Linked DNA regions of Oryzias latipes. The protein of the gene in region 1 purifies or fractionates together with the protein of each later gene. This does not show direct contact. Links are inferred from orthologs where the notes say so. Each region holds a gene or a part of one and is shown on either strand. Other genes may lie near its edges. The genes, in order: asxl2 and ogt.

Region 1 (3,815 bases):
CAGGAAACTGAGAAGGAGAAGAAGGTGGAGCTGTGGAAAGAAGCCTTCTTTGAAAACTTTTACGGAGAAAAGTAGGTTTTCCTGAACAATGCCATGTCTGATGCACAGAAGGTCCATTTCAGGTCTGTTGGTCCTGAATGCACCTAGATTCAATTCAATTCAACTTTATTTGTATAGCCCAAATTCACAACAACAGTCGTCTCGATGGGCTTCGTATCGGTAATTGAAAAAGTGAAACATGAACTCAAAAGGATCATGAATACATAGAGTTCAATAGGAAAATAGTAAAATGAACTAACAAACTGACTAAGCTAAACTGGCATCTCTGCTCTTAGACCCCCCCCCCCCTTCTCTGTAGGGAAAAACTCCTAAAAAAACCTCAGGGGTGTCCACATGAAGGAGGGATCCTCCCCCAGGACGGACAGGCGATTTACCAGAACTCTTAGAGAAGAATTAACTTATCTAAATCTACAACTACATATATAAAAGTCCAGCAGACGAGCTTCATCCAGCCGTGGTTGGGGGGGGACAGTCCATGAATCACTGCAGCAAACAGAGACATGGAGAACTAAATGATGAATAATAGAATAGAGGAGAGGAAGAGTAGAAGTAGATGAGAAAAGAGGACAGAACCCCAGAGCACCATAGTTACCCCAGCTTCAACTTCTAGCAGCTACTAAAAACAAATAGTTATTAAGTTTAATTTAAACACACTAACATTAAGTTAAATAATCTCTGAATACTAGCTAGTCTGACAATAATCCAGTCCACAGAGGAATGTTTTCAGTCTAACTTTGAATGTAGAAACTGAGTCGGCCTCTCTTCCATGAGCTGGGAGTTTATTCCATAAGACAGGGGCTTGGTGGCTAAACGCTCTACCTCCAACCGTACTTTTACTAATTCTAGGAACCACAAGCAGTCCTGCATTTAGTGAGTGAAGTGTTCTGATTGGATGGTAAGGGACTATGAGGTCCTTAATATAGGACGGGGCCAGTCCATGTAAGGCCTTCTAGGTTAACAGGAGGATCTTGAACTTGATTCTAGAATCAACTGGGATCCAGTGAAGTGAAACCAACACAGGAGTGATGTGATCTCTTCTGCTGGTTCCTGCTAACAATCTAGCTGCTGCGTTCTGAACAAGCTGGAGACTTCTTAAGGAACTCTTAGGACACGCTGCTAACAAGGAGTTACAGTAATCCAGCCTCCACGTAACAAATGCATGGATGAGTTTTTCAGCATCACTCTTAGAAAGTAGATTTCTGATCTTAATCTACCAACATCTCAAGATGTTGGTTGTTTTCTTCATCAGCTGTTAAACCATTTTTGGCGTGCTTTTGAGGTGGGCGGAGCTAACTCCAGTCAAATGGTCAGTCCACTTCATGCTTCATTTTGCCCTGTGGGTGATTTAGGGGGTGCAGATGTCTGTGTGAAGGAAAGATGTTTTCAGATCTTCATTCATGAAGATGCAGAAGAAGCTTTTCGGTCCAAATCTCCCTGTCGTCTTCTTCACAGAACCAGGGTCACTTTGCAGTGATATTTTTCAAACTCTTCTCTGCAGGTTGGGGTTGAGCGTCCAGGAATCCAAAGAGCTGTCTCTGCCTAATCTGGATCAGAAGTTCCAGGAGGAAAAGCCAGAAGATTCCAGCCGGACCCAAACAGCCGACGCTGCAGCTGTGAGCTCTAACCCTCTGAAGGCCAAATGTAAGCTGATGAAGACCCGGGGCTCCGAGCACGCAGAGGAGCCCAAATGTGCAGCCCCCCCGTCTGAGCCCGGACCCCTAGACTCATCTGAAGTTTGGAAACCAGCAGAGCAAAGCTCACCTCGCAAACTTCCCATAAAAGAGCACGAGGAAGAATCAAATGACACTGAGGCCGCTCTGCAGACGGGCTCAGACCTCCAAGAGCATCTCGGGGAGGAGACGCCTGCAGCTCATGGCCAGGAGCTAACCCCCTCACCCAGCAGTCCCTCCCCATCCCTGAAGAGGAGGTCCGTTAGTGAGGCGGACGATGAGATGAGAGCAGAAAAAATGTCTCGCCTCTCCTCTGCGTCTTCAGCCTCCTCTGCGTCTCCTTCAGCATCATCCAGCCCCGCCACGCCCTCTCCGACCAACCAGAGGGTCCCTCCTCTGAAGGTAGGAGGTCTCAGAGGAGCGTCTGCAGTCGGCGTTCCCACTGAGCGCTCTTATGAACGCATGAACAGAAGAAACGTCAGGAAGCAGATATGCTGTCTCTTCTCCATAGCCCCTGCTAGACTAGATCCACATGGATTTTAATGCCATTTGGTCACATGATCCCCAATTAACACCAAATATGACATCAGCCGCCTAATAAATGTGAGCATTTATAAACCACCAGGTTATGATGATGAAGACTTAGATGGTTTATAAAAAAATACATTTGCAAAAAACAAGCCTTCAAACGCAATGCATTGTGGTCTATATTCACCAGTCTAGTGAACATCGATGTACACCAGTTTGTCACTAAGACTTCTGGGAAATATCCAGAGCACTGGATTTTTATTTGGACACCCCCACAAATGAATGAATGCGTTCGTATTGCACTAAAGGGGGAGTAGTGATGGACTCTTTTTGTTTAAAAGGAACCAAGGTTTGCAAACGCAGCAGACGGTCCAAACATGTAGTTCTACCGGAACACTTCAGGCTTTAGGACCTCACTTGCTCCAGATGTCATTTCCTCTGAACTTCCTGTCTTCCAGATTCCCGTGTCCCGGATTCTTCCTGTGTCACCCGGTCAGGGGAGCCCCCCCTTCAGCAGCCCGGGCCGTACCGGAGCGCGTACGCTGGCCGACATCAAAGCCAAAGCTCAGCTGGCACGAGCGCAGCGAGCGGCGGCGGCCGGGTTGACAAAAGGAGTCGGGCCAGGCCCCGGGCCGGGTCAGCAGCAGCCGTCCTCCGTCGCCTCCTCCCCCCAGGAGGTGTCCCAGTATTCCAGCTCACCTTCTCAGAGACCTCTGGACTCCATCTCCCCACTCAGCCCGGGCCAGCCCCCCCAGCCGGGCCAACCAAACCACAAGCATGGAGGCCGTCCTCCAGAAGGGGTTGGAGATGCTCCCCAGGAGGTCCAGGCTTCCTCCTCACATGCTGGGAAGGAGGTCCCGGGACATCGACCTCCTGTCCGGAGCAGCTCCTGCATCCCTGCAAACAATCCTCTGGTGACTCAGCTGCTGCAGGGCAAAGACGCTTCCTTAGAGCAGATCCTCCCCAAACCGCTGTCCAGAGGGGACACGCGCACCACAAACCCGCCCCCCATCTCCAGGGCGCCGCCCACTGCAGAGCTCTGGACGGAGAAGCAGGTGGCGCCCGCGGCGGGCTCCAAAGTCCTCAGGGAGCTCCCCGACAAGGAGACGCAGGCGCAGATCCTGCAGACTCTGATGCAGAGAAAAGTGCAGCTGCCCCCCCCGCAACACAAACTGTGGCAGCTGTCCCAGGACCCGCAGGCGCTGTCCAAGGTCTCCTGTGGGTTTTTGGGTCGGAAGAGGGCTCCTCGGCCCGCCATGACGGGGCATTACCTGCTGAATGTGTCCACGTACGGCCGCGGCGGCGAGTGCAGGAGGCCGCTGCACTCGCCGCCCCCCCCAAACAAGCCTGAGTGTGGTCTGCAAAGGGAGAGTAAAGACGATGCAGGGAGGGCGGTACTGGTGAAAACGGAGCAGGAAGGGGGCCCAGAACTGCCGCCTGAAAACAGGGAGCGTCTCCAGCCCCCCTCCAGTCCAAAGACTGAGCCTGGAGTGCAGGAAAATGCGGCAGGGGGGGTCGGCACCACCAAAGACAAAAGCCTTCAGCTGCAAAGACGCT
Region 2 (3,815 bases), on another chromosome or scaffold:
GCAGTAAATGCGCTGTGAGTCTGCAGTAGCGCAGGGGCTGCGCAGCGATACCCTTCAAGCAACCTAAATGGCGGAAAGCGCACGCGTGCAACCCCCAACGCCCTCCCCCCTCATCCCCCTTGGCCTGTTTGGTTGCGGACCTCACCCCACCCAAAAACCAGCCTCGCTCCCAAATGCACCAAAACGCTCAAGACAGGATTTGTTATGACAAATGCGTTGAGCAGTTTTTGATTCATTCACCATCTATTGGCTTTCTGTTTTTATGATTAAGGACACACACAAAAATCTCTCCACAGTAAACTATGTTGCCTCTTCTGGCAATGCCCCCCAACTGTCTTGTTTATCCTTCCAAGCTCATGGCTGCAGAGTGTGTGCTAGTCTGGTGCTGCAGATTATCTGCCAGGGGTTGTTGGTCTGCTGCCGTTGTCATCCGGCCATTCAGCGAGCGCACAAGCGAAGTAAGAACTTTGCCAGGAGCAAGGTCATGCGAACAGCGATACATGGTGCATTGTGGTGTTGGCGGCAAACCCACCCAGCGCGCCTGCGTTGACTGCGCCCGCATTACAGGGACTATCACCTGCACTCACTGTTCCACATCCAAGGTTGTGAATGTCAGCACTGATCTACCAGCCTCTGCTTATTTTCAGTGTTTTCAGTGTTTTAATGGAAGGACAATAGATGGAATTTGAGGAAATAAGAGCCACTGTGTTTGATAAAAGGTGGTCATAACTTCAGGATGAGAACGTGAGTGTGGGTGCTGGTTGGATCCGCGCAGCGTAGGAAAAAGCTATGCAGCTTTGCGCGGCAGACTTCTGCGCCAGCGAGCCCATGCTGTAGACTCACTTTTTGCTATCATGGAGAGTAGTTACTAATTTTGCTATTTCTGCCCTTTTTTGTTTTTGTTTTTCTTTTCATTCAACCCCTCCCCTGTCTACTCCACCTCTCCTTTTCTTTTTTCCCCGTTTTCTGTGGTTTTCAATGTAAACCTACTGAAGGCTTGTTACCTGAAAGCCATTGAGACTCAGCCCAACTTTGCTGTCGCTTGGAGCAACCTCGGTTGTGTGTTCAATGCCCAGGGGGAAATATGGCTCGCTATACACCACTTTGAAAAGGTAAGAAGAATTGTTCATATCTATACACACTATTTAATAGATTTATCATTTAATGTTACTTTTATTTCCTTATTTTTAGGCAGTCACATTGGACCCAAATTTCCTGGATGCTTATATCAATTTAGGAAATGTTTTGAAAGAAGCTCGCATCTTTGACAGGTGAGTTTAAAGTATGAGCTTTATGCTCTTGCTTCAGGTTTACCACACCTTTATGAACTTAACATGGAGTTTGTGATATTTTTAATCCTGCAGCTCCAAAAACAGCTGTCCGATAAGGCGGTTTTAGTTAAAAGCTGTAAATCTTAAACTGTTGTGCCTGTGATGATTTGTGGAAAATAGCTTAGAAAGTTGTGAACATTCCTTGTTTGTCATGTTGTCTCCAGAGCTGTTGCTGGATACCTGCGAGCTCTGAGTCTAAGCCCCAACCATGCAGTGGTTCACGGGAACCTGGCCTGCGTTTACTATGAACAGGGACTCATCGACCTGGCCATCGACACCTACCGGCGGGCCATTGAACTGCAGCCCCACTTCCCAGATGCCTACTGTAATCTGGCAAACGCATTGAAGGAGAAAGGAAATGTAATGTCCAGAATTCACTGTAAACAGAATTTTACCTGTTTTTTTACATTTCTCATGACTTGACACCATAATGGATCCTTTCTAGGTGTCTGAAGCAGAAGAGTGCTACAACACAGCCTTACGTTTGTGTCCCACTCACGCCGATTCCCTGAACAACTTGGCAAACATCAAACGTGAACAGGGCAACATTGAGGAGGCAGTCCAGCTCTACAGAAAGGCTCTGGAGGTGAATTGATCGTTGCACGCTTCTCTAATTGTTTTTCTTTTGAGCAGATAAAATAAACGTAACAAATGGTATGGTGGTGTTTTTCCGTCAGGTATTCCCAGAGTTTGCAGCAGCTCATTCTAACCTGGCCAGTGTCCTGCAGCAGCAGGGCAAACTTCAGGAGGCTCTCATGCACTACAAGGAGGCAATCAGGTTAAGAAACTGTTGAGGCAGAAAGGATTGTCCGCTTGCACGTTCCTGTGTCTAAACATCTTTTCTTGTTCCATTTTAGAATCAGCCCCACATTCGCTGATGCCTATTCCAACATGGGAAACACTCTGAAGGAAATGCAAGATGTCCAGGGAGCTCTGCAGTGCTACACTCGTGCCATCCAGATCAATCCAGCCTTCGCTGATGCTCACAGTAACCTGGCCTCTATCCATAAGGTGGGCTCTACTGCCTCGTCCTTTTCTTTTAGGAAAGTCGGTTGTAAATCTGTTCATATGTGTTTACCTCAATATACAATTTTTGAATTATGTTCGGCAGGATTCTGGAAACATCCCAGAGGCCATTGCATCCTATCGCACCGCCTTGAAACTCAAGCCAGATTTTCCTGATGCTTACTGTAACTTGGCACATTGCCTACAGGTACTTTTAACTTCTGTTTTCATTTTTTCCTCAACTCCAAATTATAGATTTCTGCTTAGTTTTGACCTCCTCCATTTCCAGATTGTTTGCGACTGGACAGACTATGACGAACGGATGAAGAAGCTGGTTAGCATCGTGGCTGACCAGCTGGACAAGAACCGCTTGCCCTCGGTGCACCCGCACCACAGCATGCTCTACCCACTCTCCCACAACTTCCGCAAGGCAATTGCCGAGCGCCATGGAAACCTTTGCCTGGACAAGGTACACGCACTGATGAAAGCAAGTAACTTTTCATTTACATTTTGGGTGTTGAGGTTACTGGTGATGGCTCTGCCCGTCTGTGGGGATGTGGTGAAGGTAAGGGATCAACTGGATCCTGCTAGTGGGTTTATGAGGGCTGTGCAGATTAAGGGAATTTGTTAGCCGAAGGTTTCTGACTCGTGGTCTGTTTGTTGCCTGGAAAGGACTCATGGAACTCATTCTCTCCTGCATTTCTAACATCTTGCCGTTGCTGCTTCCATAGATTAACGCACTGCACAAACCTGCTTACGAGCATCCCAAGGATTTGAAAGCCAGTGGTGGACGTCTGCGCATCGGCTATGTCAGCTCCGACTTCGGAAACCACCCCACGTCTCACCTGATGCAGTCCATCCCAGGAATGCACAATCCAGAGAAGTTTGAGGTTAATGATCCTTTTGTTTTCTCTAGTCTACACTATATTTCTGTCAATTTTAACACCTGGTTTTTCTTCTAAGGTGTTCTGCTATGCGCTCAGTCCTGACGATAGTACAAACTTCCGTGTAAAGGTTGTGGCAGAAGCCCATCACTTCACAGATCTCTCCCAGGTAGCCTTTATGCTGTTTTGTGGCTCGTAACAGTCTCTTCTTAAATAATTTTTATGAATGTAACTGAAATGAAAAATGTTTTAGTTGTTTGTGAAGTGTTTGTTTTCTTTTCTCTGCAGATACCTTGTAATGGCAAAGCAGCTGATCGCATTCACCAGGATGGAATCAACATTCTGGTCAACATGAACGGATACACCAAAGGAGCTAGAAATGAACTGTTTGCCCTTCGCCCTGCTCCCATTCAGGTGAGCTCTTTTCCAGCCTGTTGAGAAGGTGTTCTGCTTTTGAAGAACGCTCTCACAGTGGTTCCTGCTGTCTAACAGGCCATGTGGCTCGGCTACCCCGGAACCAGTGGGGCTCCGTTCATGGACTACATCATAACCGACAAGGAGACGTCTCCCATGGAAGTCGCTGAGCAGTACTCTG

Evidence for each region.
Region 2: the proteins of asxl2 (region 1) and ogt purify together in Homo sapiens (affinity purification with mass spectrometry; 3 studies listed by BioGRID and IntAct, with this or other methods). This does not show direct contact. The link is inferred for Oryzias latipes from reciprocal best matches to the Homo sapiens genes ASXL2 and OGT.

What each region holds. Positions count from the first base shown.
Region 1 is NC_019880.2:116,983-120,797, reverse strand, and holds part of asxl2 (putative Polycomb group protein ASXL2), read left to right. Parts: coding exon 1-71; intron 72-1,558; coding exon 1,559-2,132; intron 2,133-2,716; coding exon 2,717-3,815.
Region 2 is NC_019868.2:18,373,776-18,377,590, forward strand, and holds part of ogt (UDP-N-acetylglucosamine--peptide N-acetylglucosaminyltransferase 110 kDa subunit), read left to right. Parts: intron 1-995; coding exon 996-1,112; intron 1,113-1,191; coding exon 1,192-1,271; intron 1,272-1,495; coding exon 1,496-1,691; intron 1,692-1,776; coding exon 1,777-1,917; intron 1,918-2,008; coding exon 2,009-2,109; intron 2,110-2,188; coding exon 2,189-2,342; intron 2,343-2,442; coding exon 2,443-2,544; intron 2,545-2,625; coding exon 2,626-2,823; intron 2,824-3,067; coding exon 3,068-3,226; intron 3,227-3,299; coding exon 3,300-3,389; intron 3,390-3,508; coding exon 3,509-3,634; intron 3,635-3,712; coding exon 3,713-3,815. UniProt on the Homo sapiens protein: Catalyzes the transfer of a single N-acetylglucosamine from UDP-GlcNAc to a serine or threonine residue in cytoplasmic and nuclear proteins resulting in their modification with a beta-linked N-acetylglucosamine (O-GlcNAc).